Linked DNA regions of Lytechinus pictus. Each later gene encodes a partner of the first gene's protein in a complex. Links are inferred from orthologs where the notes say so. Each region holds a gene or a part of one and is shown on either strand. Other genes may lie near its edges.

The links.
Region 2: protein virilizer homolog (region 1) and N6-adenosine-methyltransferase catalytic subunit-like share a complex: the UniProt entries of both Homo sapiens proteins name them as parts of the WMM complex. The link is inferred for Lytechinus pictus from reciprocal best matches to the Homo sapiens genes VIRMA and METTL3.

What each region holds. Positions count from the first base shown.
Region 1 is NC_087246.1:52,275,478-52,292,372, reverse strand, and holds the start of protein virilizer homolog, read left to right. Parts: upstream 1-9,404; 5' UTR 9,405-9,606; coding exon 9,607-9,651; intron 9,652-16,895. Other genes in the region: uncharacterized protein LOC129270772, read left to right, coding at 384-513, 1,900-1,938. UniProt on the Homo sapiens protein: Associated component of the WMM complex, a complex that mediates N6-methyladenosine (m6A) methylation of RNAs, a modification that plays a role in the efficiency of mRNA splicing and RNA processing.
Region 2 is NC_087246.1:25,853,464-25,869,897, forward strand, and holds the start of N6-adenosine-methyltransferase catalytic subunit-like, read left to right. Parts: upstream 1-7,864; 5' UTR 7,865-7,887; coding exon of another isoform or gene 7,888-8,008; 5' UTR 8,009-8,336; coding exon 8,337-8,427; exon of another isoform or gene 8,428-8,526; intron 8,527-9,334; coding exon 9,335-9,483; intron 9,484-11,155; coding exon 11,156-11,223; intron 11,224-11,900; coding exon 11,901-12,033; intron 12,034-12,602; coding exon 12,603-12,693; intron 12,694-13,065; coding exon 13,066-13,142; intron 13,143-13,546; coding exon 13,547-13,583; intron 13,584-13,979; coding exon 13,980-14,035; intron 14,036-14,934; coding exon 14,935-15,048; intron 15,049-15,678; coding exon 15,679-15,866; intron 15,867-16,434. Other genes in the region: arrestin domain-containing protein 3-like, read right to left, coding at 4,296-4,430, 7,888-8,008. UniProt on the Homo sapiens protein: The METTL3-METTL14 heterodimer forms a N6-methyltransferase complex that methylates adenosine residues at the N(6) position of some RNAs and regulates various processes such as the circadian clock, differentiation of embryonic and hematopoietic stem cells, cortical neurogenesis, response to DNA damage, differentiation of T-cells and primary miRNA processing.

The DNA.
Region 1 (16,895 bases):
TTTCTTTCTTTCTTTTTCTTTCTTTCTTTCTTTCTTTCTTTCTTTCTTTCTTTCTTTCTTTCTTTCTTTCTTTCTTTCTTTCTTTCTTTCTTTCTCTCTCTCTCTCTCTCTCTCTCTCTCTCTCTCTCTTTCTTTCTTTCTTTCTTTCTTTCTTTATTTCTTTCTTTCTTTCTTTCTTTCTTTCTTTCTTTCTTTCTTTCTTTATTTCTTTTATTGATATTACTTTTCATTTTTATTATTCATTTATATTTTTTATTTACTTATTTATTCATTTATTTCAAATATTCTTATTAATCCAACTATTATTTCCCTTCATACGATGGTCTGCATTGTTCTTTTTTAATCATTCAACTGCGGATTTTCTCATTTTCCCTTCAAATCAGAGTTGAGACTACCAGGCTGCCGAGGTATTTGAATGCTGGTGATCAATTGTTGCAGATAAATGACATCGACGTTACGAACACGGGGAAGGACTTTGCTCTTATTTGTATCAATCGTGTGAATTCAGACAAGGTTTGTAACAAAATAGTAAAATAGTAAAAATAAAAATAAAACACTGAAATGGCATTCGAACGATGTGCTTATTTAACGTGTTGGAAATGCCCGTCAAATGATAATGAACAGCTGGGAGGTCCTTGTCGAAAATATTATTGATGAACAGGAAAAAGCAGTTTCGTTCTACATGTAAGTTTCGGAGCTGACGAACGATTGCAAATATTTCGTTTGTAACTGCTGTTTTGTTTCACCAATAATTTTCGACAAAGACTTCTTGGTCGCTCATTATCATGAAGGGCATTTGAAAATACATTTTCCTATGTTCTTGAAAGCGTTCTACGTAACTGTGAAAAAATGAGAGTAACATTATGTAGAGAAGAGATTAAAAGCAAAACATACAAAAGAGAAAATGCCTGTTATCCAAAGAGTAGTGGAGTTTCGCAAAGTTGTTCATCATATTGGCAATAGTTAAAGTAATTGAAATTATTTAGTCCGCATTTCATACCTTAGTAGAAACTCTCCTCACACATTAGGCCAACGTAAGAAATTGTTTTCTTCTGAGGTTCTGTAAGTTTAGATTCATGACCTGTATCAATATACAAAGATCCTTTTATTGCAGTTATTCCCTGCTTATTTATGTTCACAGAAAATTTCGAAGTTATTGTCTAATATGTGGACGTTAGTTTTTTATTATCAAAAGTAAAGTTTAGGCCTATTTTAAACATTTGGACTTACGATTTTTTTGTCTAGTATAGGATGTGTTAAGCAGTTTTCTAGACAAATTCATTGAAGTAAAATAGGATTTTGCGTGAAAATGAATTCTGCCATTTACCATATTGTCTGCAAATTTTCGGCTGAAACAGTGTAGAATTGTGTTTTCAAGTCGAACTATCTCGAAATTTGTGATAACCTATGAGATATGTTTAATATCACGAGGAAGTATATTTCAATGTGGTCACTTCACTTTGAGACCACTTTCAATTCAGGGGCACATTCAATAAGCTTATAAGATCTTTCTCAAGTTAGCATTCGTATGAGTAACTACACTGTGAAAAAATATTGGGTAAAATTTTAACCAGCACGAGGGTAATTGTGTGCCCAAACAATTTGGGGCAGTATTTTACCCAATGCGGGAAGCATATATTGTCCATTAAGATTAAAATATAAGCAGCAATTACTTTAGAATGGGCAAAATTGTCATCACACTGGATAGATAAAAATGCCCAAAGGAAATGTCCAATGTTGGTTGGACACATAATTACCCTCATGGAGCATTTTCACCCAATATTTTTTAGAGTTTAAAGCCAATTTACCCCAGGGCTGGCTATTGGACATTTTTATACAACCTAGGAGGTGTTTTCTTCAATAGATACAAATGATTTTTAAATCTATTTTCATTTCTAGATTAACCTCGAATTTCTCCGGCGTTTTCATCAATGCTGATAAAGACTATTAGTGAGGTTTCAGAATTTGATTCACCGTGGGGAATGCCAATTAGCCTACACCATGCTAAGTCCCATCAAAATCCTAGATGGTTCAGTGAGATGACATAACTCATCATGCCTCAGCTCGTCACATCACTGCCATTTTAAACTAAGGCTGCCTCAACACAACCATGTTAAAAGTATAAACAGTACCCACAAAAAGGGAAGTAGCCAGGAAAAATTCGGATTGTCAAATGTGATATTTCACACATTTATACAAGAAGATACTAAAACAACAAACATGATCGGGTATAGGTTTTTAGTTAAAGTAATGATAAATTTCAACAGTAAGATTTCTATAATATTTACCTACATGTGCTATGAAAAACAAAGACGGGTCCAAAATAATAAGTGACGTCAAAAAATATGCAAATATGAAAATCTAATTTCCTACATATGTTTATTTTTGTATAGTGTTATGATTCTATAGTGACATTGCGTTGTTTTAATATCTACCTGTGAGTTTGGTGTTAATATTTTTTTAAACTTGACTTTAAAACTAAAACTTGAATTTAAAAATAATTCATTGAAATACTTTTAATTTTTTTAATTTTAATTACTAGTCATACAAACCGCCGTGAACCACCATCGAAACCATCGATATGTGATCGCAGGTAGCAAGTAGAATCTCTGTCTAAAATATCCATATGACCAGTTTTCCTATAAGTCAAATATTGAGGGGAAATAACTTGGAAGAATTAAAAGACAGTATAGATAGGCTCGGAAAAAATGCAATAATTGCACTTTAATGTACTAGTAATTTGATTCAATTTACCGCATTTTGTAAAACTTATCATTTTGTTGTTTAATTCGAATTCTATGCCCTTTTCCGACATTTTGTGAAGGGCCTATAGGACTATCTGATATCATAATCGGTTGTTATTGTTTCAAGTTATTCTTGTTATTATGATTAATATCGTTTTCTGATAATGTTGTCATTATTGCCATTTTCATTATTATTTTTATTGTTATTATTATTATTGCTATCATTACTTTTATTTTTTATTGTTGTTGTTATTATTATTTTCATACTGTACAGATCGTCCAAAGATGGACAGTCATAACTGGTATTAAAATGAGATTTGTCATTAGTTTTTCAATATATACTCTATATCTCTCTCTCTCTCTCTCTCAAAAAAAGAAATGTGTCAAAGCACACGCTTGAATGATGAAATTCGAAAAAAAGGATGATTTTTTTTCAATGTATATTTTCATTATTTTTTTAAAAATCTTCATGACATACTTAGATTTTTTATTCTCCAAGTTATCCTCATTTCACGGTCTTTTTTGACATCATACATACTGTCATCATCAAAGAGCGAATATTTCACTGTCTTTTCAAATAATAATACTTACATAGTACATACACATATAACCTGTATGTATATAACATGTATGTACAAAAACTTGTGTCTTTTAATGTATTCATTGTTAAATTCTAACTGATTTTGTTTGTATTATATTGTTGAAGCAGTGAGGTAATGTTTAAAATGTTACCCATTATGGAATGTCATGTAAATACAGTTTCGTATATACCGTAGGTATAAGTCTACGCATAAGTCTACAAAATTATGTCTTTTAATGTATTAATTTGTTGAATTCTAACTGATTTTGTTTGTATTATATTGTTGAAGCAGTGAAGTAATGTTTAAAATGTTACCCATTATGAAATGTTATGTAAATACAGTTTCGTATATAGGTATAAGTCTACAAAATTGTGTATTTCAATGTATTTATTTGCTAAATTCTTGCTGATTTCGTACAAAAAATTATATGTTTTTTAATGCATTCATTATTTTGTTCAATTCTTATGACAGTTGAAGTAGTGATGTAATGTTAAAAATGTTACCCATTATGAAATGCCATGTAAATACAGTGTCGTATAGGTTTATATGTCTATACGCAACGATATGCCAACGGGTCTTTCATCAAAGCAATTTAATAATTTGTCTTATTATGTCATATATTCTATGTCTATTATAAATGTTGTCATTGCATATAGAGAGATTAATGTGTTTTTTTAAATGAAGCAACCAGTGGCAGCATTTTCTATTTTTCTACAAAATTATTATGTAAATACATTGTAAAAAAAAGAAGATGTACATAATTTTTGGGATACAAAGTTACAAGTCTTTCATGTTATTATGCGCATAGTTGTATCAATAATATTTGCTAATTTCTAACTTGGATTTTGTCTTGGGAGCCGTGAAATAATATTTTGATGAAGATCAATGGATAATCACGCACAATGTAAATAGCTATGATTGGAAATCAAGTATTAAATCGATGACGGTTGTGTTTATCAACGAAATACCAAAGTGCAATAATAAAAACTAAAATATAACAAGGCTAAACTGAAATATAACAATACTGATAAAAAAGGCTTTCGCTCAGAATAAAGGTGGTTTCGGTCAAATAAATACTAGTATTTGATAATAATAAAAAGGTTTTGACTACAAAACGAAGGTGATTCTGATTATATTTCAGCTCTTCTGATTCAGCATACCTATCAGATTTCCAGGGGGTGCTGCCCAAGACGAGTAACACACGCAGCACCCCCTGGGTATATCAGCATCCCCACTTCACAGGGTCGTGATTTCATTTAATTGTATCTATGATCTTTCGTATATACCTATACGTAATAGTGGTTACGACTTTCAGTTAGTGCTTTCGATTACCAACCATGTCGTGTATTCTTTCATCAAGCAATTTACCCACATTGTGCTGTACTCGACCCAGGTGCATGGCCCTGGGAAGCGGGGGTGCCACCCCCCCCCCAAATTACCTTAAGGGTGCTGCGTGTATTATTCTCTATAGGCAGCACCCCCAGGTATTCTGGAAGATGTGTAAAAATGTTTTTAAAAAATATAACCAAAACGAACTCTTTTTCTTTCCAAATTTCTCGGGACCAATTTGATCTCCATTTTGGTTGTGAAAACTTTTTTTTTTCCTTTTAAATTTACTTCAGCACCCCCACTCAATAAAATCGTTCCCAGGGCCCTACCCATGTGAGGTGAATTAGTACCCGGTAGGATTTATTTCTTGAACGCTTTAGCGCCTATAATGGCGGCTCAGCTAATAGCCATGGTAATTACCAAGTATCAAGCGCAGTAGAATATATGCATATAGGAACTGAGCTATATTAATGGACCATATTATTATTATTATTATTATTTATTATTATTATTATAATTGTTATTATTATTGTTTATTATTATTATTATTATTATTATTGTTATCATTATTATTTCACTTCATTTCCTTCTATTTTTACCTCTGTTCTTTTCTTGACTGTACCCCCATTGCAGAACAGCATTTTGACACAGCAGATAGATGTTGGGCAACATACTGTCCTCTGTGTTGGGTAATGTATGTTGGAAGCATATTCGTATATAAATATATATATATATTTATAGGCAGTTATTATCCAGTTGAGCAAATTTATTACCCAATTATTAGTTTTTATTACCCAATTTGCACAGATTTTAACCGATAGTTGTGTGGACAGTATGTTGCCCAGGGTTGGTTAAAAGTTGGGCATTTTTTGCCCAATTATTTTAAGAGTGTAATCCAGCTCGTTTATATTTCCTACAGTTATGCAAACTGTAAATATGTAAGCCAATCTGTATCGTTGTGTTTGTTTTTGATTTTTCGAATCGGAAAATAAATAATACTATTTCTACATGTATTAGAGTGTATTGTCTTTATTTACAGGTATCGATTTCTTCCATAATTTTGGGCTTATGAAATATGCATGGATCGTAAAAAATGCGAACAGATTCGTATCAAATCAAATTATAATTTTCCTACTCTTTATTATCGTTCCATGACATTTTCTCCGGCGACATGCAATCGCTCCGATGGAAAATCAGCACGTTAACCCTAATATAAATAGACTGGGCCATTTCGTCGCCTAAGACGACGGGGGGGGGGGGGGGGGAGGCTGAGACGAAAATTGGCACGCGCTACCCCTGGCATAATATGCAAAACTATAAGATCAAATTCTGCGAAAAATCTAAAAAATTATGGTTATTTTGCTAATTTATGCATAAAATCAAAAGGGTGCTCTGATGAACTAAATATTGCCCCTAAAATGCTAATTTTGGGTTCACATATAGGAATCTGATCAAATGCGTTTTTAAAAATTTAAACATCTCATTTATTTTCTCATGTATTTTATTATTTTTTAAATTTCTTATGTAGGCCTAATTCTTTGTTTTTCGAATTTTTGTTTTTAATTGTTAAGTTTTTTTCCAATTGAGATTGTCGGGGAATTTATTTTGACCATAAACAAGATGAAATTGATCGATTTTAATCAGTAAAAGGAAAAATAATGATACATTTATGAATTTGGGCTAAAAAAACTATTTGCATTAGATTTGTACACGAATCCACGTTTTTGAGCAATTTTGGGTCTGTACACTAAAAAAATAGATTCAACTTTGCCCCCCCCCCGAGTTTGCACCTTTAAAGGTGCAGACCAGAAGTCACACTGGGTGCAGCTTTAAGGTGCAACTTTGTACCTTTTTGGAAAGGTGCAACTTTGCACCTCTCTGAAAGGTACAAAGTTAAACCTTAAAGGTGCTCCCATTGTGCCATCTGGCCCCCGTCTTACAAAGAATTGCGATTGATCCGATCAATTGCAACTATGGGAGGCCAGCCAAGTCAACACATGAAATGCATGTTTGTTCAAAAATTGTTCTATATATGAATGTATATCCATAAAGTCATTGATTTCTTGACAATTTGGTGTGTTTTCCTTTGTTTACAAAGGACATTTTGCAAATTTCCTGTAGAAAATATTATGACACTGATGGATTTCCATAGAATTACTATTGATTGCATGGATCAATCGTAACTCTTTGTAAGATGGGGCCCTGGTCTGCACCTTTAAAGGTAGTGAGTGGGTCTTAAAAATTGCTGCACTCGTTTAAAATTATGTGCATATTATATTCACAAAGGAAAATGAGGGTGACTAATCAATAGTGAAAAAAAAAACACTTCACAAATAAGGAAAAATATTTCTTTATATATCAAAACAAGTATAAATGAGGATTAAACGGTGAGATGTTTAGAGGTAAGATGTTAGTGGGAAAGAATAGGATTATTATTATCCAAAATAGAGTGGACGAATGATGCTATCACAGATCACACTGTAACTCCCCCTAAAAACGTGTAAATAACACGATGATGCAAATATCAAAATAAAAAGACTGCAGACACGAAAATTTTTGAATAAACTTTAAAGGGCAAGTCCACCCCAAAAAAAAAGTGAATCTGAATAAATAGAAAAAACTCAAGTATAATGCGGAAAATTTCACCAAAATCGGAGATAAAAAAGAAAGTTGTAACTTTTATTTTTTTAATAGAAAAACATGTCCAACGTAATATCAAATGAGAGTATGGATGATGTCACTCACTATTTATTTTGTATTTTATGCAGCGGCGTACCTAGGATTTTCCAAAAGGGGGCAAATTTTTTGGAGGATATTTCGTCCGCGAAAAAATTCGACAAGCCCCCCCCCCCCCCAAAAAAAAAAAGGTCTTCAACCACAAATAAAGGATTTCGTACCAGAAAAAAATTTGACAAGCAAAAAAAAAAAAAAAAAAAAAAGTCTTCAACCGCAAATAAAGAACATTTCCTACCAGAAAAAAATTGCCCCCTCCCCCTTAGGTACGCTAGTGATTTTATGGTAGGAAATAAAGAATGTTTCAATTTTTGCAGATTTTACTATAATGAAGCATGTTTATGTTTAGTGAATTAAGTTATTTCATATTTCATCATTCCTTTCATTAATTTGCATAACGACCAGAATATGCAGCTAACTATTTTATGATGTCATAATTTTGCGATGTCATAATATAACTTTATTTTACATCCGATTTTGATAAAATTATATTAATGATATTTTCTCTCTTCATTCATATATGGGGAGGATATGCCCTTTAAATTTTTATTCAGAGATAATGCAACATTCTAAATTCTGAAAAAATTTCATTCTATTTGGAATGTTTTTTTTAAATTATTATTATGTTCACTAATGCAATTAATGGAAATGAGGGGGGGGGTCCACTATAATAGCAAAGCTTGTAAAGTGTGGATCCCCCGTGGAAATGAAAAAAAAAAATATTGCCGACTTATTCATGTATGCGTATATATGCAGGATAGAAAAAATGAGAAGGAACAAAAAGAATTTGAACTAGACAAATCAGCAGTCACTAGCTAAATTAGCTCTTCGTTTTTGAGAGTTATTCAGGACATTGATTTGATCAATGTTATCAATAACTCAACGTACATTTAATGGGCATGATGGGACAAGGCCTAACGATCTATTTGCAAAAATTGTCCCAGGTTTCCTAAAAAAAAGTGTGAGGATCATGCCCCTCACTCTAGTGTATTTAAAATAATGTTTGAATTGGTTTCTGTTTTTTAAAGTTAGTAACAATATTTAAAAGCATTTACAAACGTACTTGTTTCATCATAACCACACACTTGATGCAAGATCATTGATGAGTTACTTGCATTGTTTGTATTTATTCCATATATATGAATATACTTAACTATCACAATAGTCTGTAATTACAGGTATGTCTTTTTCATTTATATCATTATTATTTTAATTGAATTAATTATTTATTATTCATTAATTTATTTATCTGTTCATTCATTAATTTGTCATTATGGAATATATTCAACTTGGTGATAATTCATAATTGGTATGGTGTCGAAAATCTGTCTATCTGACGGTCAATTGGATCGGGGTCGCCCTAGCCACTAACCCGTCTCTGTGGTCTAGTGGTTAAGGCACCGGCGTTCAAAGCTGGGGGCCCGGGTTCGATTCCCGGCAGAGACATTTTTTCGGCATCACCAATTTTTCCAAAAAGGGTAGATAGCTCTGGGGAACCTTGATTTAAGCTACGCCTACCATTGTTCTCTTCATCCATTTCTTTCACACAATATTTAAATATAAAAGAGTTGCCAAAGCTTAGTACATGTATAACTTCACACATTTATATATATATATATATATATATATATATATATATATATATATATATATATATGTTCAAATTTAACAAATCATACAAATCCTGTCAAACATGGAGGATGGCCCATTTCAGCGGTATTTACAAAATACCCCTGTTCTTCCTTGGGATTTTCCGGGGGATGTTGGCGCTTCCCTCTGCTATTGAACTGAATTGAATTGAATGGAATAACTTAATTGTCCATAAAAGAAATTCTTCTTTTTTTCACTGGTTTACACACATGTAGATACAATGTATATACACAGAACAAAGGGAGTGCTTAGCTGGGTATTCTTTTAACAATAAATGCTATGCAAATTGCAAATGGTAAATAAAAACAACTATCATCACTGTCTAATACTATCGCCATTTTCCCCATTTTCGTTGACACAGTTAAAGACACAGTAACGATAACATTTTTTGCCATGGCCGCCTTACCGAGTCCCGTCGTCCTAATCAGGGAGTAACAAATACAGAATGACTCGCAAATTTCTGACATTATCCTTCCTTTGCAAAATCACCTTGTTCTTGATTTGGTTTTGAACAACTACAGAAAGAATTTGAAGATTTGAACCTTGATCAAGTTTGAAACGTTTGCAGTATGGAGGTTCTTTTCTTCGACACGCTAACCCACGAAACGAGTGAGGTGAGTCCACCCAATCATGGCATTGGCAATCGGCAATAAGCTAGCTCCGCCGCCTATGGCTATGCAAGGCGCGGCCGACGGCCGGCGAGGCGCGGTGCGGATGGGGCTGGAGTAGCCAGACAGGAGGCTCTTAGAGAGTAAAAATCATTCACTAACCAACATGTGCTGGCGCTAGTGTAGTTTCGCACCTCCCCGTTTAATGGTTTTCAAACATGTACAATCTCACCCTAAATAATTCACAACCTAAAATACTTGCATCTGAGCCTCCAAAGTCCAGTAGAAGTTGAATATTTGCCGTTTTGACATTTTTTTAAACAAAGTTTTACACCTATTTCGGAATCACTCGGTCGCTTGAAGCTCAGCGCTGCACGCACATAAGCAGTCGGTACGCGTACAGTACGTACCACCTAGTGACGTGCAAGAAGAGCGAGTTTTTCTATGGTATCTTCAAAAAGATTTTTTCCCCTCTTTCAGCTTGCACCAAGTATTACGGTAGTGGTTGTGCAGAGTGGTTGATGTTTGTTGTGTGAATCACTGTGAAGGTGTGTGTGGGGTGTGCGTATGTGTGCTTGTTTGAATGAAATAAGAAATGTGAAAAACCACTACCGTAATACTGCACTTCACTAGGTGGTACGTACTGTACGCGTACCGACTGCTTATGTGCAGCGCTGAGCTTGATCAAGCGACCGAGTGATTCCGAAATAGGTGTAAAACTTTGTAAAAAAGTGTCAAAACGGCAAATATTCAACTTCTACTGGACTTTGGAGGCTCAGATGCAAGTATTTTAGGTTGTGAATTAATGTTGTAAATCGGATCAAAAATCAGATCGAAAATCGGATCGGCAGTTAAGCTTCTAAAATCGAAATCGAATCGAAAATCGAATCGGCGATGTTTAAAAACAAAGGAATACATCAACATTTTGTTCGCGGTCGCGCGCATCTTCCTGACAAAGTCACAAAGACGAATGTTTAGGAATGGAAGTAGTCGACATGCGCGATCGTTTGGAACATGCTTTTAAAGGGTTTTGAGGTTTAACTGCTTAACAATAAAATGAGTGATTTTTATAAGAAAGATAAGCGAATGACGCATCTTCCGAGCAGTCGCAAAGGAAAATAATTCTCGTAGATCACAGGTCAATGAACGATCGGCGGGACATCTTTTATAAGTATTTTTATGTGAAGCTGAGCTCAGCTAAGTTCGCTCATTATAATATGTGATTACAGCCACGCCCAATAACCATTCCAAAGTACACCCATTTTGTTATAATAGCTTACTTGGTACATCATTTCTCCGAATCAGTTCTGGGAAAAGTTAAGTCACGCCTCAGTATCGATCTTTTTGTATACCCACCCACTCAACAATATCAGTGAATTACGCAATGCGCGCAAGCATTCACACAATACAAGATAGTTTTGTGGCATAGCCGAGAACTGGAACCGCCCAGACTCAACGGGCTAGCGCAAAATTCTTTACACTACCTTTTGGCATGTGCACGTGGTGGGTTTGATTGACACTGCTAACAGTGCTATTCTTTGAGTTGGCTCACTGGCTGGATTAATGACAATATATCACTGCAAGTATGGCTTACATGATACATACAACACGCAACACATCCATACACACTGCTCTCAAACTCCCTTGCTATTATTCGTACCTAGGCCGTGTGTGCACTTATGGGCGGGATTTAAGCAGGGCATTGACTAGCATATACAACACATCCATGCACCCAGCATTCATATACATTTCTCAAACTCCCTTGCTATTCGTCCATTGTGTGAACTCATGGGCGGGATTATGACAAAAATTAGCGCAAGCACTAGCATACGTAATACACACAATACATTCCTGCACCCACGCGGTCACACATAGCTCTCAAACTCCCTTGTCATTCGTCCATTGTATTCACTCATGGGCGGGATTTATCAGCGTAAGCACTAGCATACATAATGCGTACAACACATTCATGCAGTCACACACAGCTCTCAAACTCCCTTGCTATTGGTCCATTGTATTCACTTATGGGTGGGATTTATCAGCATAAGCACTAGCATACATAATGCATACAACACATTCATGCACCCATGCAGTCACATACAGCTCTCAAACTCCATTGCTATTGGCCATTGTGTGCACTCATGGGCGGGATTATGACAAAAATTAGCGCAAGCACTAGCATACGTAATACACACAATACATTCCTACACCCACGCGGTCACACATAGCTCTCAAACTCCCTTGTCATTTGTCCATTGTATTCACTCATGGGCGGGATTTATCAGCGTAAGCACTATCATACATAATGCGTACAACACATTCATGCAGTCACACACAGCTTTCAAACTCCCTTGCTATTGGTCCATTGTATTCACTTATGGGCGGGATTTATCAGCATAAGCACTAGCATACATAATGCATACAACACATTCATGCACCCATGCAGTCACATACAGCTCTCAAACTCCATTGCTATTGGCCATTGTGTGCACTCATGGGCGGGATAAATGACAAACACAGTACAAGTACATGTTCATTGTTTGTATATTATACAATACATTCATTCCAAGTTACACTCCTGCCATACCAGTCAGCGCAGCTACCGGTAGGTCATCATAAGTAGGTCAACCTTTTATGAGTCATTTCTGACATTCTAGGAATCTCAATTGTTCGAACTATTCGATTGTTAAAAAGCTCTAAATAGCTAGCACCTCTGCAAGAACAATCTTGAAATATGTTCTGACCGCACTGTAACTAGATCTACAGGTATGCCGATTTTTTATATCCGATTTTTTCCTTCAAGGGGCATGATCAAAGATCGGCAAGTGATCGCCGATTGTTGTGAAATCGAATGGAATCGGTTGCCGATTGCAAAATCGGTTACAAGCTTATTGTGAATTATTTAGGGTGAGATTGTACATGTTTGAAAACCATTAAACGGGGAGGTGCAAAACTACACTAGCGCCCATGTGCTTACTCTCCACGGAGCAAGGGATTGTGTCCCATTCATGTGGGTGTACCGCAAAAAACCCAGAAATGTTCGCCCCCAAGATTTCTACTTCTACACGTTCTAGACAGCTGCCAGCCGCGCCGTGTGTTTCGAGGAGTTTTTTAACATTTTTAAGTTTTCTTATTTCTCCTCGTACACAGACGGCTGTGCAGTCACCATTATGATTAGGGGGTTAACAATGCAAAATCCCCCGGACGGGGCTCGTCGATTTTTGTCTTTATTTCATAAAAATGTATAAAAAGAACTGGACCAAATAGAGATAATATTCCGTTTTTGCCTGAAATGCACCAAAACAGGAAAAAATAAAATTAAAACTTTGGGAAAAAATTGGTGAGTGGAGCCAACAGAGTTCAGTGGAACAACCAAACAGAGACCAAAGCTTTAAGTTTTGGTCTACCTCTAAAGGATCTAGCCCTATAGCTATATCTAAATTATGTACCGGTAAATGGGATACAACTTCATTTCCGACATTTCTACAATATTGATTTCATTTTTAAACAAGAATTAATTAAAACGATAAACTATGCCAATTTTTTTTTTTACAAATTATTTTTCACTTATTTGTGGTATATATTCTGAAGATCCTTACCCAAGAACAAACTATCACTAAACTCATAAATACGAAAATCCCGACATGTTTTCCGAACACCTTGATTTCGCCGCCCGATGTAGAACTAAGGGGTTCTAAAGCTAGGCACTTGATTTATCATGCTAAGAAATAGTATTTCCTGTGCTTAATATTAATAGGAAAATATGAAATTAAAGTGAATATAACACCAAAATTCCAAAGGCCAGTATTCTGAAGTCGGGTTTAACTTGAACTCGGGTTTAAAGTTGTGGGTTAACTATGGATAGCCAATTGTGACAAATCACTAAGAGTAGATATGATATTTCAGCTCATTTGACTCTCAAATCATCCCCCATTGTCTAGGAAGTATAAATAAGATAATTGTCTTCACCATCAAAGAATCGGGGAAAGAGCACAGTAAACATAAGAAATACACATTATAATAAAAATGTTGACTCTTGGCTTCCCATAATTTTAGCACAGAGTTAGACCATGGTCTAAGTTAAACCCGGCTTCAGAATACGGGCCAAAGAGTTGCTGGTTTTCTCTGCATTTAGTGATTTATTGCAGCCTCTGTGGAAAGAAATTGAATAGGAATCATAATGTCACTCTGCAGTCACAGCTTCACACACAGAGTGTGTATTTTGCAATAGATGTTGCATGCGCAATGAGTGGCGCATAGCTTTACATGCTGGTTCCCATTTCAGCGAGTACAGTAGAGTAATATAGTGTTCCTGCTGAAATGAGAAGCAGTGTGGAAAATTCTCCATAGGGTTTCGCACACTGGTTCCCATTTTGAAGAGTAGAGTATTTATAGTTCATAAGTGAGATTTATTTCATCAGTGACGATTCTTAGAGATAAATCTCACCAGTAGTAAACTGTCTTCATTTACTCGTGAAAATGGGAACCAACATGTACAATTCTGGAGAATTTTCCATAGCTTATTTCTGTTTTGAAGAGTAGATAAAGACAGATTACTAATGAGATTTATTTCATCAGTGGTGATTCTGATGAAAGAAATATCACTTGTAAACTGTCTTTATCTACTCCTTAAATAGGAACCAGCTATGGAAAATTATCCAGAATTGTACAAGCTGGTTCCAATTTTCATGAGTAGAACCAAGAGTTTATTAAAATGATTGATCTTCATATATATCTTGTTTGTGATTTATTTAATTAATCAATTTTGTGATCATTTTTTTTTCACCATTGTGAAAGTGGCAGAGTGGTTTTGAAGAGCAGGGAAATGCAGGGTAGATGGATTAATCTCAAAATTATAATTCCACATTTGATTAATTAAACCCTTGTGCGGAATCGCCGATGTCATCTGAAAACTTGAAAATCTGGGCCCAATGAATATCGCGCGAGGAAAGAGGGAACCAGTTGTGTGAAGAGCTTCACATTGTTAACAAAGCAATTCGCATCATTTCTTTTGAAAATCGCCGAAGCGAGGTTTCTTTATAATATCGTGCTGAAAGGAGGTACAACTTTGATTTGGTGAACAGTTCCCAAAGCACAGAATGGCCGTTCTGTCTGGCGATAGGCCCAATGAAAATGATAATGCGCAATTAAAATGAATTTCTATGAATGATAAAAATGTCAACAACAAAAAGCCAAGCCCAACAATCAACAAAATAAAATTACATGTAAGTCTAACATTAGGTTAGGTCTAGATGTAACGTTAGGTCCAAACTTAAGCCTACATGTATGCAGGGTGCGACATAAGCGCTTGCCCGATTGCCCGGGGCAAGTAAAAGTTAGAGTCGGGCAAGTGTTTTGAAGTAAAGACCAAAAATACTTGTCCGAATCGGGCAAGCAAAATTCTCACTGTGAAATGAAATTTTACAAAGTTTCCCAATACTTCACACTAAAAAATACAGAAGAAAGAGAGAAAAAAACAAGTTAACAACTTCCCTCAATTCAAATTGCAAGCCACTTTGCAACATTTTTTGTGATCTACACACAAAAACACACACAGAGTCAGCATACATACATGTGGCTGGTGCGCCCAGCCTCCAGCCTGTGTGGCAGGCATGCATGGATCTCCATGCTGCTGTACACACCTGTACTATCCCGATCAAACTCCAAATCTAAGTGAACAAGCTCACATGAAAAATAGTTTTTCCAACAAAATAATCACAAAATCGGCGGGAAATTGATATACTTATATGGATTCTCAGATTACTGATTTGGTGATGTGATCTGAGGAGCAAGTTATTGAGTTTTGTAGTGGAAAGAAAGATGCGTGCAAGTCTACGATGCCGCGATGATTCATTTGATTTTTAAGTTTGTGAATGTTTCTCTGTGAATTTTTTTTCTAAAACGTTTATTTTTCCAACAATTTAAAAAATATATTTTAGATATTTTTTCAGCAAGATTTTTGTTTGATGATTGCATTTTTTTGTTTTGTTTCAAATTTGAGCTTTCTTCCTCTTTCTTTTTCTTCCTTCCTTAATCCTTACTTGCTACCTTCCTTTCTTTTTTTCTTTCTTTCTCTTTTATTCTTTCTTCATCCTTTCTTCTATGTTTCTCGCTTGCCTTTTTTTGTTCCATCTATCTTTTCAATCTTTCCTAGCTTTCTTTCCCGATCTTTTTTCTCTCTCTGTTCATTTTCCTTTGTTTCCTTCGTTTTCTTACATGTACTTTCCTTCTTTTTTTAAAATTTCTTCATTTTTTCTTTCCTCTAATTTTTCTTTGCTTTCTTCTCCCTTCCTCTCCTTTTTCTTTTTGTTCTTTCTTTCCATCCTTCCATTATTTTCTTTTTTTAATTCTCTCTTCACTTCATTCTTTCCTTCCACTAAAGTTTCATCCTTTCTTTTATTCTTTATTTTCTTCTTTCCTTTTTTTCCTTTTTTTTGCTATTTCCTTCTTTCCTGTTTTCCCCTTTCTTTCTTTTTTTTTTTTTTTTTTTCTTTCTTTCTTTCAAAAAAATGCAGGATCTTTTTTTCTTCATTCTCTGTTTCTTCCCTTTTTCTTACTTTTCCCCCTTTTTTATTTCTTTCCATTCTTTCTTTCACCCAGTAATTCATTTTCCATTCCTTTCCTATTCTTTTCTTTCCCTTTTTCTTTATTAATTTCAAAGAATGAAGGAAACCTTTTTCTTTCCTTTATTCTTTCTTCCTTCTCCATTCATCTCTTTTCTTTCCTTTTTTTCTTTCTCTCGTTCATCCTTTCATTCGCCCATTCGTTCACCTTATCTTTTTCTTTCTTTCTTTCCTTCCTCCTTCCTTCCTTCTTTCTTCTTTAGTTATTTTCAGTGATTCCCCTTTTTATTTTGTGTCACGGTCATATACAAAAGCACATGAAAATATATGAGAGAGAAAATTAATCAAATGGTGTATTGACACCAATTTCGGTCATAGGAGGTAAAATAACTTTTAAAAAAAATATTACAAGGTACAATAGTTCACGTTAAAAAGAGAGGAAAGGGGCAATGGTATACAAAACCGTAGTACTTTCTTTTGAAGCGGTAAAACATTTCGAAGGATTTTTTTCGGGCAAGTGAAATGTATTTTTGGGCAAGTATTTTCCAACTATTTAGAAATTTACTTGCCGGACTGGGCAAGTGCTTCTAACAAGTTATGTAGCACCCTGATGTATGTGGAAAAAATTGTAATGTAACTCGGCGGTTGCTTGTGTTTCCTTGAATTTGAAAGACAGATTTTTGGTTA
Region 2 (16,434 bases), about 26 Mb from region 1:
AGGAATTTATAGTTTATATTTTGACAAATAACAATACATGAAAAGTAATAAATGGGACTGATACACAAAGAAACTGTGCAAGTCACTCGGTTTGGGATGAAATGTTTTGGTAATTAACAAAATATATATAATTTTAATAAAAAGTTCTTACCATATATGGGTGATAAATGCTCTTCTCTTACTACAATAGTTGTAATTAGTTTCAATAAAATCCAAAGTTTTAAGAAAAAACAACTTCAGTGACATTTTTGCAAGTTTGTTGCAGTCACCCCTGCAGCAATTTATTATTGAGAAGGTCGCTGAAGGTCATAGAATTTGAGACTTTGGCTTAGCCATATCGCCTGACTTGAGACAAATGTCTTAAAGTTTATAGAATATCGCTAGGGAAGATTTCTTAGACAAGCAAAATGCTAAGACAAATTGCTAAGACTTAAGCAAAAAGCTTATCTTGTTTATGGAATACGGGCCCTGGGCCCGTATTCCATAAACGAGATAAGCATGCTTAAGTCAAAAATCTAAGCATTTTGTCTTAGTTTTCTGTCTAAGACAAAATTCTTAGCCAAAACGCGTATTCCATAAAGAATTGGCTAAGAATTTTGTCTAAGAATTTGGCTAAGAATTTTTGCGCGACTAAGACAGATTTAGGATAAATGGCTAAGTAACTTTTCTTAAATATGCAGAGTCTGTATTTCATAAATTCTACATGGCTAAGAATTTTGCCCTAACTTTAAGACAGTGGTGAGTTGTCTTAATTGCTTTAAGACAACGTTTAAATCCAACAAATCATGGCCAATTTTTTTTTAGAATTCATACCTATATTGCATTTCGAGCTACTTCCTCAGTTTTTAACCAATTTTCATGAAATTTGGAACACACATTGGTCTTAAGGTAAGGAGGTGTAAGAATTTTTTTTGCTTTTTCAGAAATAGTGTTGCCATGGTAACAGTATATTATGGCCAAAATTTAAAATTTAAATTACTTCATCGGTTTTCTACCAATTATCATGAAAGTTGGCTCACACATTGGATTTGAGGAAAAGATGTGCAAGACACAATTTTGCATGTGTCGGAAATTGTGTTGCCATGGTAACAGTATATTATGGCAAAAATTATGTATAAATCTTGCTATTCCAACTACTTCCTCAGTTTTTAACCAATTCTCATGAAATGTGGCACAAACATTAGTCTTGATGTGAAGATGTGCAAAACATATTTTATGCCTATATACAAAAATTGCGTTGCCATGGTAACAACATATTAAATAACGAAAATTAGGTGAAAAATTTGTGGTTTTAACAAGTTTACAATATTTCAACCACTTCTCATGATGTTTGCCACAGACATAAGTCTTGAGGTAAAGATGTGCAAGACACATTTTCGCATGTGTCGGAAATTGTGTTGCCAAGGTAACGGTATATTAGGGCAAAAATTATGTAAAAATCTTGCAGTTCCAACGACTTCTTCAGTTTTTAATCAATTCTCATGAAATGTGGCACAAACGTTAGTCTTAATGTGAAGATGTGCAAAGTATATTTTATGCCTTTATAAAAAATTGCGTTGCCATGGCAACAAATAAAATAACAAAAACTAGATGAAAATCTTGTAATTTGAATTACTTTATCAGTTTTCAACTGGTCAATTCTCCTAAAATGTTGGCGCACACAATAGTCTTGAGTTGAAGATGTCTAAGATATACTTTTGCCTGTATCAGAATTCGTGTTGCTATGGTAACAACATATTATATAAAGAAATTAGGTGAAAATCTTGTGGTTTGAATCCCTTTATTAGTTTTACCAATTCTTATAAAAGTTGGCTCACACATTGATTTTGAGGTGTAGATCTGCAAGACATATATTTGAAAATTTGTTGCCATGGTAACAGCATATCAGATCAATAAATGTGTAAACAGCATGATGTGTATTGAACTACTTCTTCATTTTATGACATTGGCCTATATGTCCATGAAATGTAGGTTTTGAGCTAAAATAATCTGCAAGACACATTTTCTCATTCATCAAAATATGTGTTTGTATGATAACTACATGTATACGCCAAAAAAGATTAAGACAATGGTCAATGACAATGCTAACTTTTGTTTGGCTACATAGAGAACTACATGTAGCTGAGGGCTTAGTTCTAGTTTTTTTTTTTTTTTTTTTTTTTGGGGGGGGGGGGGGCTAGACCTCAAGATTTCGAACTACAGCCCCTAGTTTAGATCTAAGCCTAGATCAAGATTCTTTAGTCCTAGAAATAACCCAATGCTAGATCCCTAGCCTACTTCCTTTCTCAGGCCTAACGTTAGATGAGTAGAACTAGACTAGATCTAGCCTACATTTACTATTTTTAGATCTAGAATCTACATTGAGATAGAGTCTACAAGTCTCTAGATCTACACCTATTACTATGACCCTATGTACACCTAGATTGGTATAGTTCTAGATCTAGATAGGGTCTAACTTTTAGTCTAAGTGAGTAAGTCATTTAGTCTAGATCTAGGCCTAGGTTAGAGATTTCTAGATCAAACAGTAGACTAGATCAGCCAGTCCTAACGTTAGGGCTACCGGATAGGCTAGAAATAAAATCTAGAATGAATAGAAGAAAGCACAGGCTAGGCCGCCTAGGCCCTAGATCTAAATTCTTATATAAATCTAGGCCCTAGTCTAGACTGAGCTGTTGCCAGTGTTGGTCTAGGTTTAGGCCTGTTTTCTAGTCCTGGAAACCTAGATCTAAACAAGTCCTCAAATTCAAAATGTATAAAATAAAAACTCCAAACAAACAGATGGACCTAAAGCAGGAGAAGATCTAGATAGATGTCTAGACTACTACTAGGACTAGATCTAACTTTAGGCATAGGCCTAGTTGGCAAGCAATGCATAGCGATATATCTAGCACTGTTGACAGGAATAACCGTCGTTTCTGGGGATTTATTTAAAAGTTTCTGACATTTACTGTCATATCACATTGGTGAGACTAGGCCAACGTAACGTTAGACTGTTTAGTGTCGTACTCGTAATACTAAAATAGCGGAACAACCAAAATACAGTCGGAGACTGAAGCTTTTGGTCTAGGCCTAAGTCAGATCTATTCTAGACCTACATGTAAATCTAGATAGATCTATCCCTGTCTTAAGGCTAAGCCAGGCTAAGTCCTGCATGTTCTAGGCCTAGACCAATACTAATATAGGTCTATCGTTAGATCTAGGCCTAGTATGTAGCTTCAGTCTCAGTTGCTCCACTACGGCACTAGACTAACAAAGTTACGTTTTGGCTTTTGCTTCAGCCTTCAGGAAAGTAAAAAGTAAAAACAATGTTCAATTCTCCTCCAAACAGACGGATATTAGTTGTAGATCTTGGGCCTAGGCTAGATCTAGGCCTAATGTTAGACCCAAGACTAGTCTCAAAAGTTACAAATGTTTTCCCTTAGACCCTAGGTCTACTTCAACTGAAGTAGAATAAAGATGTCGAGAGGAATCTACCCTATCCCATTTAGATTTTGACAAACAATACATGAAAAGTAATGAATGGGACTGATACATAAAAAACTGTGCAAGTCACTCGGTTTGGGATTGAAATGTTTTGGTAATTAACAAAATATAGAATAATCTGAATAAAGAATTCTTACCATATATGGGTGATGAATGCTCTTCTTTTACTACAATGGTTGTAATTAGTTTCAATAAAATCAAACTTGTTAAGAAAAAACAACTTCAATGACATTTTTGCTATTTTGTTGCAGTCACCCCTGCAGCAGTTTAGAAGGTCATAGAATTTGACTTTGAGACTTTGGCTTAGCCATATCGTCTGACTTGAGACAAATGTCTTAAAGTTTATAGAATATCGTTAGGGAAGATTTCTTAGACAAGCAATATGCTAAGACAAATTGCTAAGACTTAAGCAAAAAGCTTATCTCGTTTATGGAATACGGGCCCAGCTGCCTGTGATTTTTTTTGGGGGGCAGCAATTGTTGTATATTTGGAGACCAATGAACATTTATTCAATGAATAACAAGTTATATATTGATAAAACAAACATAAATTTACAGTGTAAAGTTCACACATAGGCTATGCCATTTTAAAATGGATACATTATTTTTTAAATAATAAATTCTCTTATTTCTTATCTATGACAATGCATATCAGTAAATAGTTAAGTATACATGATCAGAAAATTTATTCATTTAGAAAAATGAAATATGTGTGAAGCAAAGGAACTGAGCTTGAGAGTATCTCAAATACATGTCCATTAAAAATAAATTATAGATGAATCAAAATTCAAATGGATGCAAAGAAATATTAACCTGCTCCACGGAGAATGACTTCTTGCTTGAAGAATGGAATTTTCCATGTGTAATGGATGGTTCTTCTGTGATCTCCGGAGCCTCGTGTTTCAGTCCAGTGAGTGTAGGACTTGCCTTTGCATATTACCTTAATACCTGCATGTAGTCATGAGAGAGACAGAGAGAAAAGGGGAGGAGAAAGAGAAAAGGGGAGCGAGGAAAATTGTAACTCTATCACTTTTTATTTCCATGAATGAAGTTTTTGTCAATTCCGCTGGTTACATATATATGCTCTGTAGGTATACCAGAATATGCAAAGCAAAGTATTCATTAATTCTTGTTTAATGCATAAACCTAGTAACAGTTAGGTCTTTCCTTTCTGCAAAATTTTCATTCTGTGATTGGCCTTTAGGCTTAAAAAAAAATACTCATCACTATATTTGCATTAGGAACATGTGTACTACCATGGATGGAGTAAGAATTGCACATTGGTGAAGATGCGCCGGCATGATGCAATTATTCTTTTTTAAACTTAGATCCATTTCCGGGGATCCATTTGTATTTTCAAGGGAAGGATTCAGCAATCAGTCATATTATAAGTTGGATATTTGTAATCATATTGGTCATGTTTTTGGACTGGAGCAAAAATGAAGTCAGATAAGTGCAGACTTTGTTCTTTATATTAAACTAAGTCAAAATTAAGGCATACCCCGTTACTAAGAGTTGATTGGGTTAAGAACTTTATCTTGATGTCCTGCTCCAGGGGTGGTATTGAGGTATTCTGAGGTAATTTTATCTTTAAAATATTTCATTTTGTCTTCAAAAATGAAATTGGTTTTCTGAGATGACATTTTATCTCTCAGATAAAATATGAAATTTTAGCAAACTTAACTTCATTAGATCTACATATCTAAAGATTATACGCGACAGAGCAGAGCCTACATAGAAATATCCATCGCGTATCTAGCCATTGCTACGCAGATGATGTGCGTGTACCCACGTTACTTTGAAGAAGAAACTTAAAAAGAAACTTAAAATAGGGTGGGGCCTCTTTTATCTCTGCGTCGTCCAATCCAGCATGGTTTCTAAGTGAATTAGCTCTAAAAGCTTGAAGACAAATTTGAAAGAAAAATTATATCATTGAGAGTAATAGTATAATACCTGAACATTACTCCTGTATGATAAGGAATTATTTCATAATATTTTCTGGACTAATAATTGTCTCTAAAATGATGCTGGTGATGATGCGATATTGACATTGGGACTCTGTGAGTATTGTCATATTTTTAAAAGAAATCTCTGTAAAAATGCCCTAGCGCATAGTGCAAGCGTATTTGAATTCAATAAATTGACATAATCTTGCTCCTTTGCCATACCTCCTGGCGGAATGGATATCAATGATTAGTTGAGTGAGATGAAAGTGCTATAATTATAAAACAATTGATGTTTCTCACTTTCTCATTGGATATTACTTCAAAAATAGACATGATAGATGTGTCTTACAGAGATTAAATGAAGATAAACTGGTTCTCAGAATACCAATTTGGAGAGATTTTATGGATATTTTATCACACTCATTTTAACGAAGATAAAATATTTTATTTTATCTGACTCTGAGATAAAATGGATATTAGAATTCAGAATACCACCCCTGGGCCCCAGTACAGTACCACTACAGAGCTCTGCTGACGCTGGACCCCAGGAAATGCGGACCTCTTTGTTGAGGTCCTGGGGACGATTCCACGAAAGGGTCTTTGCCAGAACGGCATTATCCTGGTTTAAGTAACCACTCCATCTCCCATTGACTATGTACACAAAGAGCGCACACACACACTGACACACACAAGAAGAGAGGTGACTTATTTCAAGATAAGGCTGCAAGAACCGTCTTCCGTGTCGCCCATTTATGATGCGCCATGTGAAACGCATCTTAAATAAATTATGATGGTCACCGTGGTCCCTATAAGTCTGCGCACCTAGCTACCGGTATATGAGTTAAGATTTAACACGAATTTCTTTCTATTTCACAAAATCTTTCAGTTAGCCGGTAATGATGTTCCTGATATTATATTAGGAGTATTAAAGTGTGCCAAATATCTCATAAAAATTTGAAAGAATATATAGGATTTTCTTGGAGAAATCAGAATGAAAAAAAAAATGGTACCCCATGTCTGCGCACCCCTTCACTTTGCACACCATTCGGGGATTTTGATGACAAAGGCTGCATTTTAAGGCCGTCACATGAAATGCCCAAAATTCATTATTTTTCCAATATTTTGAGTCGGATTGTTTGATGAATATCTGTCTATGTATTGCATTTGTAAAGTCTGTGTTCGTTGCGTATCTTCTTTTACTAGAATTGCGCAGATAAGCATGTGCGCAGACAAGGGGGACTGCATGCGCAGACTTGGGGGAACTTGCCATACCTGCAAACATATTTTATTCATCCGATAAAGTAAACAAAAATAATAATCTTTGTTTATGAAATGATGTGATATATCTTGAAATTGTATACAAATTGATTTAAATGCTATCTCACAAATTTTATTTGTTTATCATACATTTAAGAAATATGCCGCATACAGCGGCCTTGACCTTGGTCTTGGAAAGACCCTTTCGTGCAATCGGCCCCTGATGATCTGATCTGACATGCATACCGCAGTATGGTTGGAACTACCCCTTATCGACCATCTAATCTTCTAAGCATCGTATCTGCGATCAATTTTACCCAGTTTTCGTCTCATTTGTGCAGAAAATTGAGCAGATCAGATTCCCATGTTTCGCTCGGCGACTCCGATTCAATCCGCGTATATATCGACGAACAACGAATACGACGATTTTACATTTGCTCATTTGCACCCGTCTTTTGAAACCGACCACCCGCGGTACATTGAGTTTACGACCGATTCTTGTCGCGGTGGCAAAATATTTTTACTCTTCCAAATCAGTTCTATGATGTCAACATGCTAAATGATCGTCTCACTACTTCCACTGCGAGCTCCGACACATGATTGAACGATTGACGACGGATATTTGTTCTAGAGCCGTTTCCTATTGGATTTCTTGGTTTTTCAGCGGGGTTTAATTGGGTCTGGTCAATACAATTTTGATTAATTCTACTAAATTTTTACTTCTTGTTGCTTCTTTTTTTCTCGTAAAATCAATTCTTACCGTTTCTATGGACACTGCGCCTACTCTCCCGTGCGTATCGTTAGTAATACGCAATAATTTTAACGTGCGCAAGGTGGTCGGTTTCAAAAGAGGTGGTCGATATGTGGTAGTCTCACCATACCCCTGTTGACCAAGCCATACCCTTAGTTCCAAGGCAATTGGCAATTCCTCCTACTTTAGTAGGATGGGGGGTCGGGTGTCCGGACACTTTATCTTTTTGAAGCCTTCTTTTTTGTCTTTGGATTACACTAAAAATATGAATTCAATACTTGTAATCATCTTCTGTTTTGTTCTTTATAATATTTCCTAACGTTTTGTACTAAAAATTGATGAAACTTCGCTTGTAATTTTTTCCAAATGACTTTCTAAAATTGATCGTCCGGACACACAACCTGTCCGGACACACAACCTGTCCGGACACACAACAACTGGGTATACTTACCTCGAATGTCTCCCTTTTCTCCCGTCAAAACTATCCTTGCGTGTCCCTGGATGGTATCCCCTGGTTTGAACACTTCATTGCTACCTTCGAAAACAACCTCAAATACCTGCAATTTACCCATTATTGAGTAGGTCTAGCTAGACCAAAGTCAAAGACAAAATGATTTGTTGACGATAGAGATCGCGTCACGGCCACACCCAAGGTGGTTCCCCATGTTCCTCTCGATCTCGCGCTCGATCCGATCCGCACTCGCGCCGCGGTGCCGCTCTATCCCTCTCTTCAAGCCGTGCATGCGCAATGCAATTCTTATGCAGATATCACGATTCTGTGATCGCAGCTATTGAAATTACATGTGAGCTGAATTCCCAACTGAGGATTAGACTGTTGTTGAATGGCAATACTGTGATCATATTCCTCTTATTGTAACACTTTATCGCCAATCAAGGACAATGGCTAGTACTTTGGAGGCTCTTAAGAAAAAGAGAGAAGATTTAAAGGCCAAGTTGATGCGAAGGAAGGAAATTACAACAGGAATAACTGGTGAGTTGGAAAGGACTGCCATGACTGTAGTCCCATAAGTTGAAAATTATGTAAGGCGGCATACCGTAGATTATTCTGATATTGATTTTAATTTAATACATACATTTTATCACAAAAATATATTTTCCTCCCAAGGTTATGTGACTCAAGAGTCAAGATGGTTGATTGTTCGATCATGTTTCATCATTTGGAAACTGGATTCGCTTTTGAAAGTGAAATATCAATGTTCTTTTGTAGAAAAAAATGGAATTGGAAACTTTTCAATCATGTTTCATTATTTTGCTTTTGAAAGGGGAATATCATAACGTTAAATGTCGACTTTTTAATTAAAATGCAAAAATTATGTTGCACTTGCAGGGCTGCCAACTTTTGAGTAGCATGGCATTGCATTGACACTCGATCGCTTGTTGTGCCTCGCACAAAAACCCCGCTTCATAGTAAAATTTCGACGTCACCAGCTCTCATATACTAATATAGTCATACACGGGATACAGTAAGCCAATCGCAACTCAATGTCTTGTCTTTGCGCAGCAAACCGAAACCAATTCGCATTGATGGTTTAGCTTTGCGCTTGTGTGGTTAAAAACTTTGAAACTTTTGCCTGTCCGGGTTATAATGTTATTGAATATCCGATATAGGCTAATAAACTTTTTTCTCTCTATTTTCGGGGTTCAGCGTGAGAATCGGGTGAATTGTGTGAGACTCACGCAGATTGCGTGAGAGTTGGCAGCCCTGTGTTGTTTAATTTTTTCACTCTTGAAAGAAAATGCATGAAAACTCAGAGGAAAGAATATTTCATTTCCACATGACTGTATGAGCTTGGATTTAGATAAAGAAAACAAGTCCACACTGTAGTGGTTTCTAATGCCTCTGTATTGATATGTCCTTTTTCAATTATATTCGTCAGAGAACAAACCAGTTTCACTCAAGTTGGAAGTATCAAGTTCACCTATTCCACCTGATAGTGTGCCTGCACAGAGTAGTAGTACATGTACCTCATCAATACAAACAGGAATAAAACAAGAAGATGGATCAGCTCCAGTTCCTATTCCAAAGGTATTCTACAGTTGGTCAAGAAGGTTTAGAATTTATGGTAGTATACTGAATAGTGTTCTCATCGTTTATCGTATCATTTATAATCTTGGAAGTCAGCAGCAATTTCCTAGTCCCAATTTACTTGACTGAGTCAGAGCAGACATGGTTATCTATTTTTACCATTTGCAGTAAAATTGATTGTAGACATAGTCAGATTTTGCTGACATTGCATATTTGTAATGTTTGATGTATTTTCTAATGCAATACCTGACTATTCCCAATGTACTACCACAATAAATTTTTATGAAGTGGCCCTAGAGGCCAAAATCAATGAAAAATGTATTTGAACAAGACAGTCAAATATTGATAACTCTCAGAATAAATTCAGTCTTGCTTGATTCCTAAGATAATGTACTACCATAGTCTAAAAATTCTTTACCCTTAATTATATTTTAACCATCCAATATTGCCTTTAAACAAAGGAAATGTATGATTACTGCTGTAGATGTTGAATAGGCCCGATAGATATATTTAAGGAAAAAATGGTGTTCTTGTCAAACACAGCTCATAAGATTGGTTGAGTTTGTTGTTTTACTCTTTACACACCAAACATCAAATCAGTTTGTGTATTTTCCTTCTGTGCAATCAGAGACTTTGGAGGCATAGACTCAAACACAACTTACATTGCAGCGAACATTTCTGTATAAATGACAAAAATCCATTTTGCAGATATAATTGCCCCTATGCAAGATGCTTTACTTGGTTTATGGTGTAGAACTGGCCCTGGATAGATCACTAAAATATATTTTCTAGATATTTGTCAAGTTTCTGTCAATTTCTTTTTTAAATTGCCCATATGCAAGATGCTTTACTTGGTTTATAGTGTAGTACTGGCCCTGAATAGATCACTAAAAGATATTTTGTAGATATTTGTCAATTTTTTGTCAATTTTTATTGAAAAAACCCCATTCTTTTGCTATAGCTTCTTGCGGTAGATACAAATGATAATATAAAAGCTGATAATGTAAAGAATAATTGTTTTTCTTTATGGTGGTGTTTTTCTGTAGAGCATTGCTGTAGTTGTTTGATAGGAATAAATCATAAAATCATGCATTTTAACACAAGGTACATGACATCCCTTATAGATGAAGTATATATATTTTGTAGATGAGAGGATACAGAAATTGCTGAGAAGATAAAAATATAATGTGACTCATAAAAAAATGATCATGTTTCAGAGATAAATCGCTTGAAAAAAATATTACTTCAAAAAGAAGGGCACTTGTCTGAAAATGAGGGACACATTGCAAAATTTATGGCAAAGGGGGATGCCACCTGTGCCCCATGACCCACAAATTACTGATAGTGTACATGTAGGTCTTTCAGTAAGAATACACTTGTTCCTTTGATTTTTATCCATTTTTTATTCAAACATGTGTTGTAAACTTACAATTGCATTGTAATGATCATACGCATATTTCTTAGAAAATTTTTCCTCAGTTACACTACTGTTTCAGGATTTTATATTATCTTGTAAATGTTAGAAAATATAGATTTTTCCAGGTCAATGAAATACTGTATTTACAGGTTTAAGAACCTGTGTTACTTATCTTTTTTCTTTATTTTTCTGCCCTCCAAAGTATGTCGCTGATCAGTTTACTATTCATTTCATTTTTTCTTCTTAATTTACCAGAGTACTGTACCTGCAGGAAGTCAAGGTATCTCTGATGGGACTGAATCCAGGAAAAGAAAGAGAGAAGAGTAAGTCATAAAAGGAAAAGATTTAATGAATCCACTCTGAACATGAAGCATCACTTCAGTTCAATGAGTAGAGAAATGCAGTACCCTATTGACTTTTCAGTGGTTAAAGTAGGATCTATCAATTATATTCTGTTTACCCTATTTTAAGAAGTCCAAACAAATATTTTCATTACCTCTACCGCTATGATACTGTGCATCAGATCTGTGCCCAAACCAATTAATTTTATAAGGATAAAATTTACAGCTCAGTTTTTTTTTTTATTATATAACTACTATTTGATAACAATTTTGATGTAAATTTTCAAGTCTTTGATCTGTGTCTAAGAACAGGGGTGAAATGAATTGTACTGTACTTTTTTTAAAACAATTTTGGGACCTAATATTTCTTTTAAATATTAAAGATTAAAGTGGTTTACCATAGTAATTCTAGTGGGTATATATATCAGATAAGATTACATGATCAAAATATAGCATTCTGAGAAAGGAGTGTTAGAGTGAGCAATTTGAAACTCAGGGGGATATTGTACTACCTTCAAGGTTTAGCATTCTCGCAAATAGTAATTTTGTAAATTACAATAAATGACAGATGAAGTTAGTCAATGCTTAATATCTCTCTTAAAATGGACCAGCTTTCTCCCATTATGAACTATATTATTTATTGATTTTTATGTGCATAGATCTGATTCAGATCAGGATATTGGACCTACTTCTACTGCCAAACAGTCAGCTGTAAAATCAGAAAAAGAAGATGAGGTTATTGACCTAACTCTAGAGAACCTTCTTACCTCAACATCATTTAAAGAACAAGAGGTAATATATTGGTGGCTTATTGGATTATTAATTGTTCATATAATTTTTTTGACAAATATGTTTTGATAATAATAGATTACTTCAAAAAAAAACTTTATTAATGAATAATAGAAAATATATTTGTATGGGTCAAATGTACTCATCTTTTAGGGATGTTTCTGTACCTTTTTATTTTAAAATACTAGTAATTGTACAACAATAAATGGAATCTTATTTTGTGTAATTCGAAGTTATTTTATCATAGGTTTATTGCTTTTGACTGATTGGAGATCATTTATTTTGAGTTTTCGGGAGAAATTATTTCAAATGATACAATAATAGATTATTAGAGCAATAAAATCGTAAGATGAAATTGTACCCCTCCCCCCCCCCCAATAAAAAAAAGGAATAGTTTTAATATTGAAATAATAGTAATAATGATAAATCAAGAGATAGGAGAAATTCTGAAATGGTAGGATTATTCAAATCTAATGTAATGAAGGTATATCTGAGTCTATTTTCAGAAACAAGTACAAACTTGTTATGCATGCTGACCGTAAATTAACTTGATTTTATTCTTGTTTTTACAGAGTAAAGAAATGGGACAAGAGATACATGATCTATTGAGTATGCCAACGGCTAAAGAGAAGTCAATTAAGGAGGCTTTTAAGTCAAAAGGAGGTTTGTTCAAGTTCATACTTTTTTTCAAAGATAGGTAAAAATTAAAGCTGATCGGTTTAAAGAGCTTGGAACAAAACAGCTTTCCACACGCTTAATTTTACCCATGTGTGGAAAAAGGCTAATAGGAGTGAAGTCTAATAATACCTTAAATGTCAATATTTTTGGTTGCAAGGCCACTTTTTTATAGGGTACATTTCTATTTTAGGCCCCTACTGCCTAAATGGTAAAAAAAAATTGAAATGTAGAAAATAAAACAACAAATCTCCAAAGCCGATGAGAGGTGATAAAGGCCAATCAACGATCGCGGGCTTCGATTAATTTTAGCTCTGTTTACCTTACTATTTTTAAAATTCTTTTCCTTCAAATTGTCAGGTACTGTTCATGAATTCTGTTCGCATGGTACAAGAGATGAATGCATAAAAGTTTCTGGAGCATCAAATTGTAATAAGGTAGGATTTGATCTTTAAAGTCTTCATTATAAATATTTAAAATATAATTATGTACACATGCAAACATGTATTGTGCTTCTACTTGTTTTCATTGGGCCTTACCAAGAGACTATTTGACGTGGAGAAATGTTTTTTTAATGTTTGTTACTTGTTTAATAGATATGCATACTCTGCTTGATTATAACAGAAGGTATATTTATGGATATCAGAATGAGGTTAAACCTTGTTTTGGTCATGTTTTATTATTTTTCAATTCTTGTTTCAAATCTCTATTTTTTTTTCTATTCAAATTTCACAACCAATTTGATAAAATGTATTTAAATTCTATGTTAATGATTGAACGAACAGTGATATTTAAGAATTCTATTAATTTCTAACTTTTTCCTCTTTCTTTTCATTTCCAGCTTCATTTTAGGAGAATAATAAACAAACACACTGATGGTGAGCTTTTATTTATCTATATAATAACATTGTATGTAATTGGTGTGCTATTAGTGTCTTGGTGTTGTTTACTTCTTTTGACTTTCCCTTGTAATCAGAGGGTCATGTGATCAAATTCCATTGATGCAATAGTGCCCTTTGCCAAGGCATCAATCTATACTTAGTCAATCTCCACCTATGTAGTTAATAGGTACTAGTAGAATGCAAACGTCAATGTTTGTTGGATAAGCTATTTGCATGGGTTGACTGCTAATTGCTGGAATAATAATAGGGTTTTTCATAAATGTAATTAGTTTCCAGTATATATCTTTTTTTAGGTCATTGAGACGAGCATGCATTTTGATGAATACTTTAGATATGATTGAGTTTATATGTATATCCTCTTTTCCCATCTAGAGTCCCTTGGAGACTGTTCGTTCCTGAATACTTGTTTTCACATGGACACATGCAAAGTAAGTACAAGACATCTGAATATTTATGTTTCATCCATTTTTTTATTTAAAAAATTAACCAGTATTGTTTTATAATAGACTGTCTATTCTGAAAGTTTCTAGTGCAAGTGATATTCTATTTGCATTCAGAGGAGCTTTGATATCACCATGAAATGTCATATAATTGAAGTTGATTACCCATGTAGTATGTATATTATGAAGATAAAGAGTCTAGCCAGAGTGGTGATCAGATTTTGCACTGTTATGTTTTTTTTTACCATATAGTATGTACATTATGAAGTTGAAGAAGGCTAGTAAGAGTGGCGATCAGATTTTACACTGTCTTGTATTTATTTTCACATGTAGTATGTACATTATGAAGTTGAAGAAGCTAGTAAGAGTGGTGAGGAAGAGAAAGGCTCATTCAGAGGAGCTTTGATATCACCATGAAATTTCATATAATTGAAGTTGATTACCCATATAGTATACTATTATGAAGATGAAGAGCCTAACCAGAGTGGTGATCAGATTTTGCACTGTTGTGGTTTTTTTTACCATATAGTATGTACATTATGAAGTTGAAGAAGGCTAGTAAGATTGGTGATCAGATTTTACACTGTCTTGTATTTATTTTCACATGTAGTATGTACATTATGAAGTTGAAGAAGCTAGTAAGAGTGGTGAGGAAGAGAAAGGCTCATTCAGAGGAGCTTTGATATCACCATGAAATTTCATATAATTGAAGTTGATTACCCATATAGTATGTATATTATGAAGATGAAGAGCCTAACCAGAGTGGTGATCAGATTTTGCACTGTTATGTTTTTTTTACCATATAGCATGTACATTATGAAGTTGAAGAAGGCTAGTAAGAGTGTAGATCAGATTTTACACTGTCTTGTATTTATTTTCACATGTAGTATGTACATTATGAAGTTGAAGAAGCTAGTAAGAGTGGTGAGAAAGGCTCTGGTCCAGTAGCTCTACAAAGAATGAACAGTAAACTTGGTCCAAGTGTCATGACGCCCCCGCAGGTAAGCTCACAAATCAATCTTTGGTCTTAAAAAATTGACAAAGCACAGATGGTGGACATGTTTGATTTTTTTTAGTCTGCATTTCATCAATGATACATGAATGAAAGGAAGCAAGGAGTACAAAATATTGTGAGAAAATAGTGATTACTCGAAATAAATAGGCAAATTCTTATTTATTCAACTGTCTTCTTGATTATTCATTTCTAAGTTTCTTCATAAATAGTCAAGTTTCTACCATGCACTTATATACAGTGGTGTTTGAAAGTTAATGAACCCCACCAGAAATGCACTCCTTCGTACTGAGTGTTGAATGAAGACAACAACAGTACAATGTTCAGCGAGCACAGAGATACAAACTTTATTGAAAGTAATATTTTATCACCTGATTTCACAATGAAATATCTAAAACGTGGCAAAAACCTGAACACTTGAAATATGTTGGGTTTTTTTTCGGAGGGGTTCACTACCTTTTTAGCACCACTGTGTATTCCTCATGGTTTTTATCTGTCTGTCACCGCTCTTTCTTCCTTTTTATTGTCTATAATCCCTCCCTTACCCAGTGTACCTGTGTGATAAATGTGATTGTTTCCTAAACTTCATTATGATTATCTTGTTTCTATCTTGCTTTAGTGGGTTCAGTGTGACCTTAGGAGCATGGATTTTGAAGTACTTGGCAAGTTCTCTGTGATCATGGCTGATCCACCGTGGGATATCCACATGGAATTACCCTACGGAACTATGCAAGATGACGAGATGAGAAAACTCAATGTACCCATAATGCAAGATGAAGGCTTTCTCTTCCTCTGGGTCACAGGCAGGTCAGTTACCTTTCAACTATCAGAGTGACTTTCTGTAGTGTAAACTCAATGTTCCCACAATGCAATAAGATGTAAGCTTTCTCTTCCTCTGGGTCACAGGCAGGTCAGTTACCTTTCAACTATCAGAGTGACTTTCTGTAGTGTAAACTCAATGTTCCCACAATGCATTTAGATGTAAGCTTTCACTTCCTCTGGGTCACAGGAAGGTCAGTTACCTTTCAACTTTCAAAGGGACTTTCTGTAGTGTAAACTCAATGTTCCCACAATGCAGTTAGATGTAAGTTTTCTCTTCCTCTGGGTCACAGGAAGGTCAGTTACCTTTCAACTATCAGAGTGACGTTCTGTAGTGTAAACTCAATGTTCCCACAATGCGGTTAGATGTAAGCTTTCTCTTCCTCTTGGTCACAAGAAGGTCAGAAACCTTTCAACTATCAGAGTGACTTTCTGTAGTGTAAACTCAATGTTCCCACAATGCAGTTCTAGATACAAGCTTTCTCTTCCTCTGGGTCACAGGAAGGTCAGTTACCTTTCAACTATCAAAGTGACTTTCTGTAGTGTGTAAACTCAA